Linked DNA regions of Danio rerio. The protein of the gene in region 2 interacts with the protein of the main gene of each other region in a pairwise test. Links are inferred from orthologs where the notes say so. Each region holds a gene or a part of one and is shown on either strand. Other genes may lie near its edges.

Region 1 (4,273 bases), on a different chromosome or scaffold from region 2:
AATGAGGGTCAAGACAGGACAAACTTACATGGCCCATTCATTTATTCATTCATTCATTTTCTTTTCAGCTTAGTCCCTTTATTAATCTGGGGTTGCCACAGCAGAATGAACCACCAACTTATCCAGCACATGTTTTACGCAGCGGATGCCCTTCCAGCTCCAACCCATCGCTGGAAAACATCCATACACACTCAATCACACCCATGGACAATTTAGCCTACCCAATTCACCTGTACAGCATGTCTTTGGACTGTGGGGGAAACCGGAGCACCCGGGGGAAACCCACGCGAATGCAGGGAGAACATACAAACTCTACTTAGAAATGCCAACTGACCCAGCCGAGGCTCAAACCAGCGACCTTCTTGCTGTGAGGCGACAGCACAACCTACTTCGCCACTGCGTTGTACATGGCCCACATATCAGTTATTACATCTGGGCCAAATACTACTTTTACATCTGGACCAAGTATTGTGTGCCACTAAAGACGGTGTCACTTCTGCCAAACCAGGGCCATGTTTGGACCACATGCTGTATGCCGGTGCCGGATGAATGTATGGGCCAGAATTCTTTGCTACCTGAGAATGCAGTACTGCTTGCTATTTTTAAAATGAGGGTCAAGATAAGCCAAACTTACATGGCCCATTCATTCATTCATTCATTTTCTTGCCGGATTAGTCCCTTTATTAATTAGGGGTCACCACAGTGGAATGAACTGCCAGCTTATCCAGTTTTAACCAGTCTAGACTGGTTAAAGCTGTTTTTACAGCAGGGAATTCTGTAAAAAATGCAAATCCTGAGCTAGACAAAAATATTTTCTTACAGTTTAATAAGTACTCCTTCAACTCAAATTATTACATTTTGGAAAATGTAACATTTTTTATGGACAGTTTCTACTCTGAAATAGCACCTAATAGAAGGAATTACCCTTGCAGTAGCTTGTAACTGATTAAACAAATGTAATCTAGAAATTAATTAACATATTTATTGGGCCAAAATAGTTAATACAGTTGCTGCTAATGTGCGTTGGTAAATTTAGGTTTATAGGCAATTAGACCCTCAGTCAAGTCATCTGTAAAGTTAAATGAACATAAACAGCAAAATAACTTGTACAAAACATACCAGAGACGAATGCGGCATCATATCGATAGAAATGTCTCCTCCTGGTGGCAAAGTTTAAAACAGATTTTTGACGTCTTTCTCTGGATGCCACGTCAAATTTGTGCGACACTAGATGTAACAGCGGGCGCACGTTGAATCAGCACCGGCGAAGACTTCTAACATGACGGTTTTTCACGACGAGGTCGAAATAGAAGATTTTGAGTACGATGAAGAAACAGAAACATATTATTTCCCTTGTCCTTGTGGCGACAGATTCGCGATAACAAAGGTTAGTTTGTTTTACTGAGTAAGCATAATATAGACAGTCATAACTTGATCCATAACTGTACGTTATCACGATCTAGGCTAACAAATTACTTATGTGTGTATGACTTAATGTATTGTTTTTCTGATGACTTGTATGTTGATTGGTTGTCATTGTTTGTGAATGAAATCTGAAGGACTACAATAAAACCACTAATATTATTATACAAATTAGGGAGTGTCAGAATGACAATATTAAACTACAGTCACAATTAATGTAAAATAATAATAATAATAATAATAATAATAATAATACCAGTTGTTTATTAAGAGAAAACTTTTTTTTTTTTTACTTTTTAGGAGGATCTTGAGAATGGTGAAGAAGTGGCCACCTGTCCAAGCTGTTCGCTAATAGTAAAAGTAATTTATGATAAGGTAAGGTCAACATGACAATATTCATTTATACATGTGTATTTTCTTGACTTGTATATGGATGATAAATATAGTTTTTTTTAAATGTATGCATGAATAAGGAATGTGTTATTTATACACTTGCATCAGGGCTCTCTTTGTTATGTTTTGTTTACACTTTTACATATTTGGTAGTCTTATTAAAGCTTTGTTAGACAGCAAAGGTAGCACAGAAACAATACTTGAAGAGGCATAGTTGTTCTAAAATGTGGTTTGGGTGCGAGAGGTCTGCCGTGTGGATGGCAACATCAACAACTTGAGGTACCAAGATATTTGTGCTGTCCTTTACATTACAAACCACAGAAGAGGGCAAATTCTACCCCAGGATAGCACTTCAGCCTCCACATTAAAGTTCCTGAAAGCAAAGAAGGTCAAGGTGCTCCAGTACGTCTTTATCAAGGTTGCTTCGCTGGATCGTGTCTCATTATAGTTGTTAAATGTGATATTCAGACATCCCAAGTCTCCCAGAAGTTCAGTCTATCACCGACCAACCCCCCAACCTGCTTGCTCTTCACATGATGACGATGCCATCGTCCATCGCAATGTTTCACATTAGACATCGTACGATGCCACATTGGTCAACATCGCCCAACCCTAATGTCAGGACCATTAAAGATGAATCCAAAGAATTTTGATTAACTGGGAATCCTGCAAGAATGCTTTCTTTGCCATTCCAATGTCTTTATTAAAAAGTTTTTCATTGCAGAGATGTATGGATGCGGCCTTCCAAGTTGATGACAGTCATACACAATATTGATTCTTTTTCCACTGTAGCATGACTTTTTATTCTATACTGTACATTATTTCTGTTACGTGACAAGACTTTTGTCTCAGCTAAGTCAGACCTTACTGTCTGTATGAAATAATTAAAAATCAAGGCATGATCATATTTTGTTTTGGTAAAATAAACATAATTTAGAGGCCTTTGCCTTTCATGTAAGCCACTTTTGATACTAAATTGCTTAATTGATACCAAGTTTTTTATTGGTGTTCCTAAAACTTGGATGGGTGACGAGACTTTTATCAGGTAGTGTACAAATAAATCCTAAAGTGAAAACTTTAGGATTTTAAGTAGATATTTTAGAAAAGACCATCCAAATTAGCTGTTTTTATTATTTAGTTATAAAAGTCTTTAAACTTAAAAAGATATATGTAGAGAGGCATTAATTTCCCCATGACTTTCTTATATTTCAGCACTAATTAGATCAAGTTTATGAGATGATGTGAAAGTGGATGCTGTGCCATTGAATGAGTTTGATTATTTATTAACCAAGCAAAACCAAGACTTTTTTACTAACTGGCTCTTCTCTCAGAGCCAGAGTGTCAGTTTACAGTAGAGGGCCATTTTAGAACATATAGCACATATTATTTAAGTATTTTCAAGATAAACAGAATGTATAAGTGCAATATATATTAAAATATATATATATATTTGCACTCTTTCAACATATATAAATTTAGCATTGCACAACAAGAATTGTGATTTAACTTTTCAACTATGAAAACAAGTTTTACAAAGATATATTTTGCCACTGATTATTCAAAACTTAAGGTGGTGAACTAGCAGTGTTATGCTGCGTTGAAACATCACTGTCACTGTAAACAACAGGCTAATAAAAATATAACAAACCAGCAATCTTCTTGCTGTGAGGTGGTCAAACTACCCACTGTGCCACCGTGACACCCATTATTTTTATCATTATTATTATTAATATTATTATTATTATTATTAAATAAAAATTAACAGGAGGAGGTGTTTAAAACCTTCGTTCTCCGTGACACTAGGCTGAATATCTTTGCAGATGAACAATGCAATAGCATTAGTTATTGGCGTAGAGCGAGCAGAACTGTTGCGCATGGAAAAAAAAAAACTTGCAATGCTTTTCTCACCACTTTTGGAGCTGGTTGAAGCAGTGCGAAAGCCGGGGATGCAGGGACACTAGAAGATGCTTTCACAACAACACCGTGGCGCCGCTTCAAGTGAGATATCAGATTAGTCGTACTGCCCGCGTATTTTACAGATGCGCGGCACATTTTGCAAATTGCATCTGTCCTGTCATGTCGTCCATCCTTAAATCCATAATGTTGCTTGCCATACTTTAGATTTAAAACTCATTGGGGAATAAAATGTTTGTTTTGCTTCTCGCGCTTTCTGAGGGCGCTCCACTAGCTTCATCCGCACACCTGATACACTGAGTTGTAGTGTGAGTGTACACATCCGCAAATCCGTTGCTAAGGCTTACTTTATGTAGGTCGATTAAATTATGCGCCAAAAACAGGTTGACAACACTTGTTAATAAATAAAAAATACATTCTATATTAAAAATATAAGCTGTATCTCGGAAAAATATATATATATATTATTGCAGTGTTTATTATGAATGATTTAACTGTGCATACATTTGTAATGTTTAAAGTCCTTAAGAAATCTAAATCGAGA
Region 2 (3,833 bases):
TTATTAGACATCCTGTGGAAATTTCCTTGCTCTGTTAAACATCATTTGGAAAATATTTTAAAAAAAGAAAAAAAAATTCCAAGGGGGGCTAATAATTCTGACTTCAACTGTATATAATTTAATATAACAGTAATTCCTCAGAGTGACTTTTCATCTATTTAAACACTTAGTTTATTTTAAATCTTATTTACTTCCTTATATGTAACATTTCTCAATAGTATTAATTAATGTATTCATTTTTTTTTCATTAGAGGATTGTTTTCTTTTTCCGAGGGGATTTTTTGAGTAGAACATTATGATTGAGTGTACATTGCGATAAACTGTCATTTCATTCTGCATTGCATGCATCAAGACGTATAGTCTAATAGTAAAGTATGAGTGGATATAAACTAAGACAGTCTGTTGTTTCTTATTCTACTATGTATCGTCTTATTAAATAGAATAATTAAAACAGAAAAAAATAAACGATTTTTCCACAGTATCTGTGACATCATACCTGTGTGGCTCCAAATAAAGCTTTAACCTCAACAGGGGATCTCACAAGGTGCTCATCACTTGACTGTTTTTCCATGCTGTGATCAGTCTGGCCTAGCTGTCCGTAATTGGATCTGCCCCACGTAAAGACCCGCCCACTCTCTGTAAATGCACAATATATTTTTTCATCATCATCTCATCAGGGAACAATGCATAAACAAAGGTTTGTGTGAAGCATGACAAAAGACTGTAGAACACACATGACATGTCACTCGTATAGTTTTGAATGGGGAAAAGTGTAACGGTCAATTATTGATCACCATAGACTGATGATTCTCCGGGGAAGTGCCTCGGACCAGACCAATTGTTGCTTAATTTTATTGGTGATTCCTAATATGAAATTTAATCATAAGCTTGGCAAGCAAATTTGAAGGATTTGATGTTTCCCCATTTAAACAAAACACCGAGCATGCTGCCGGAGAGGCCTTTCAAAGTTGACCACCGAGTGAATTGACTTGCCTTAAAGGGACTTTAGCATAACTGACCAGTCTGTGCGATGAGGTGCGTCCAGCCGCTGTGAACATCGCTCACCCTTTCGTCCTGCAGCATTGACCGATCCAAAGCCACAGGAAGAGGCAGGAAGAGGCTCCCGCTGATCAGCTGACCATGTTTATTGCTGCCCCAGAGGAACACATCACCGTTCACTGTGGAAAACACTTCTATGAAACTGACCAATCGGATTAAAGACAGTCATTAAAGAGTTTGTTTGAGATTATCTCTCACCTGTCAAGCAAGCACAGTGGGCGGAGCCTGCAATGACCTTCTGTGTGGTCACATGAGCAAAGCCTGAAGATGAGAAAGCCAGAAAAACATTTTAAATAAATAAGAATTTAAATAATTTTCATAAAGTATTTTTGTGTAGTGTAAAAAGAAAACATAATAAATGAAAGGGGTGTAACGCTTCACAAAAATCACGGTTCGGTTCGATACGACACAGTGGTGTCACCCTTCGGTATGTTTTCGATACAGCAAAAAAATAAAAAAGCCAGAAAATTTCTCTGATTTTAATTTACGGATTTTTAATTTACTTTATTAGTTAACAATAATAACTGTGCTGTTTTCACGGGTGCTGTCTGATATTGCACAGATGACTTATAACTTATTATTTGCATACGTCATCTTAATAGCAGTAACGTTTTTTTCATGAGCTGCAATATTAGTTTCATCTCAGTGAATGCAGTTCTTTAGCGATGGTGAACGCGGTGTCAGTTGCACGATTAACAGCATCGTGACGATTAAATGAAGGATTAAAAAACGTTAGAACATCTCGTGCTTAAAATGTGTAGATTCAATGGCAAACACTGTTACTTGAAAACTCTGTCCCACCGGCTTTACGGACCTACGGGTTTCATAGCAGACTTTAACCACTGGAAGTCTTTTATCCACTCTTCGAAAAGTGTAAATGTTGGATTGACATTCATTTCATGATTAGTAATCAGATGTGCCATTATTTGTAACTTTAGGTGGTTTCCAAAACTAAATCTGCCAGTGTTGTTTGTTTTCATTCTCTCGTATCCAGACCTTTACGTTTTCGTGGCTGTAGTGCCCTGTCATGAAGGCTGAAGGCAGGGCAAGCATTGCAAGCTTTGTTTACTGCAAGTTATCATGTCAACTGTTTTAAACCATTCCTGGGCGCTGCGTTTGGCGTTTTTAGGTGAAAAGATGCTTAATGTGTGAATGCCTCGTAATTCCACGCACATGGTGAACATTTTGCTAAGAAAACTGGTCGCACGACATCAATTTTATGCACTCCAATATATTTTGACGTCGCATAGATAAAATTTCGGCCACATATGCGAGCTAAACGGTAGCAATTTCAAGCCCTGTCTCATATCGACAGCTACAAATGTACCGAAACCAAAGTGTTCCCAAAAATCAGACCTGCTGTTGGTTATAGGAGGATTACATTAACGTTATAGCCATTTTGCAAGCAAGTGCAGCGTTTGCCTGACTGGAGTAGTGTTTGGAGGTGGGTGAGGAAGGCAGCATGTTGCCTGTCACGTCATTTGGGATGCCCTGTTGAGCGGTGTTGCACTGAAAAGATTATATTTTGTACACTTTTACTCTTTTATCTTTTTAGATATCAGTCTGAATTGTTCGGTTTGTAATGCGTACCGAACCGAAAGTCTCGTACCAAACGGTTCAACACAAATACGCGTATCGTTACACCATTAATAAATGCACTTTTAAGTGTCACATTTTATTAATGTGTGTGTGTGTGTGTGCATTTAAATTACAACACATTTGTTTTGCTTAAGATTTGTTTGTTTTTTCATAAATCTTCACTTAAGCAGCTCTTATCTAACACCAAATTGCACCTTTTTTCATCTGTATTATAAAAGCTTTTTATAGAATAAATTTTACATTCTGTGTTTTTTTCCGGCCATTCTCAGTATTTATATATGAATAGCCATAAAGAGTGATGAGAATGTTTTCAAAAAATGAATTTTGAACCCGAGTGTCACAATTGCCAGCGATCTAGTCCATACAGATCTCTGGAGAACTACAATTCTGCCACCAAAAAAACTACAAATCCTTTCATGCACCACACACTCACACCTGTTCCTGTTTCACCTTGATTATACACACACAGCCGAGGGATCGTTATGAACTGATTACTTGGACTTCAAAAGCTAGTTAACGAGTCTAGTTAACTGTTTTGTGACATTACGACACAGTTTCCATTGTCTGGCCAAGTCGTGTTTTGACCTCTTGCCTTGTGTTATCGTTTTGATTCATTGCTGCCGGTACTGACGATTCGCCTGTTCTTTGACAGTGTTGACCGTTGCCTACCTGACCATCCTTAAAATAAACTGCACGTGGACACTTAACTTTGTTGTCAGCGTCCCTCACATTACAATGAGAGATTGTGCTAGAAATGTATCCAAATTAGTATACGAAATAAAATAACGCGTCATCTGCATCTATAAATGTGATAATATTTGAAATTCCTAATGTAATCAATCCAATGGCACCCACTGAAAATTAGATGTTGCATCTCATGGGGTTATCCTTTTAAATAAATTGAAATTGATAAGTATCAGTTTACTATATTTTTTTATATTAGTTTAGTATTGTTTTTTTGATCCCACTTCATTTTATGTGGCCTTAACTAAAATGTGCTTACAGTAAAATTAATAATTTGGTACAATGTACTTATTGTGTATTGCTTGATTAAATACCTGCATGTAAGTAGATCTGCAATTATTTTTTGTAATTACACTATTGACCTTCCCTCACACCTTAACCCACCCTTAAACCTACCCATACCACCAAACCTGTCCCAGACCATACCCGTA

What was found.
Region 1: the proteins of sergef (region 2) and dph3 interact in binary tests that used the Homo sapiens proteins (3 or more experiments, as listed by UniProt). The link is inferred for Danio rerio from reciprocal best matches to the Homo sapiens genes SERGEF and DPH3.

The regions. Positions count from the first base shown.
Region 1 is NC_133181.1:16,098,867-16,103,139, forward strand, and holds the start of dph3 (diphthamide biosynthesis protein 3), read left to right. Parts: upstream 1-1,200; 5' UTR 1,201-1,279; coding exon 1,280-1,387; intron 1,388-1,722; coding exon 1,723-1,797; intron 1,798-4,273.
Region 2 is NC_133200.1:8,835,531-8,839,363, forward strand, and holds part of sergef (secretion-regulating guanine nucleotide exchange factor), read right to left. Parts: intron 1,321-3,833; coding exon 1,258-1,320; intron 1,179-1,257; coding exon 1,020-1,178; intron 637-1,019; coding exon 497-636; intron 1-496. UniProt on the Homo sapiens protein: Probable guanine nucleotide exchange factor (GEF), which may be involved in the secretion process.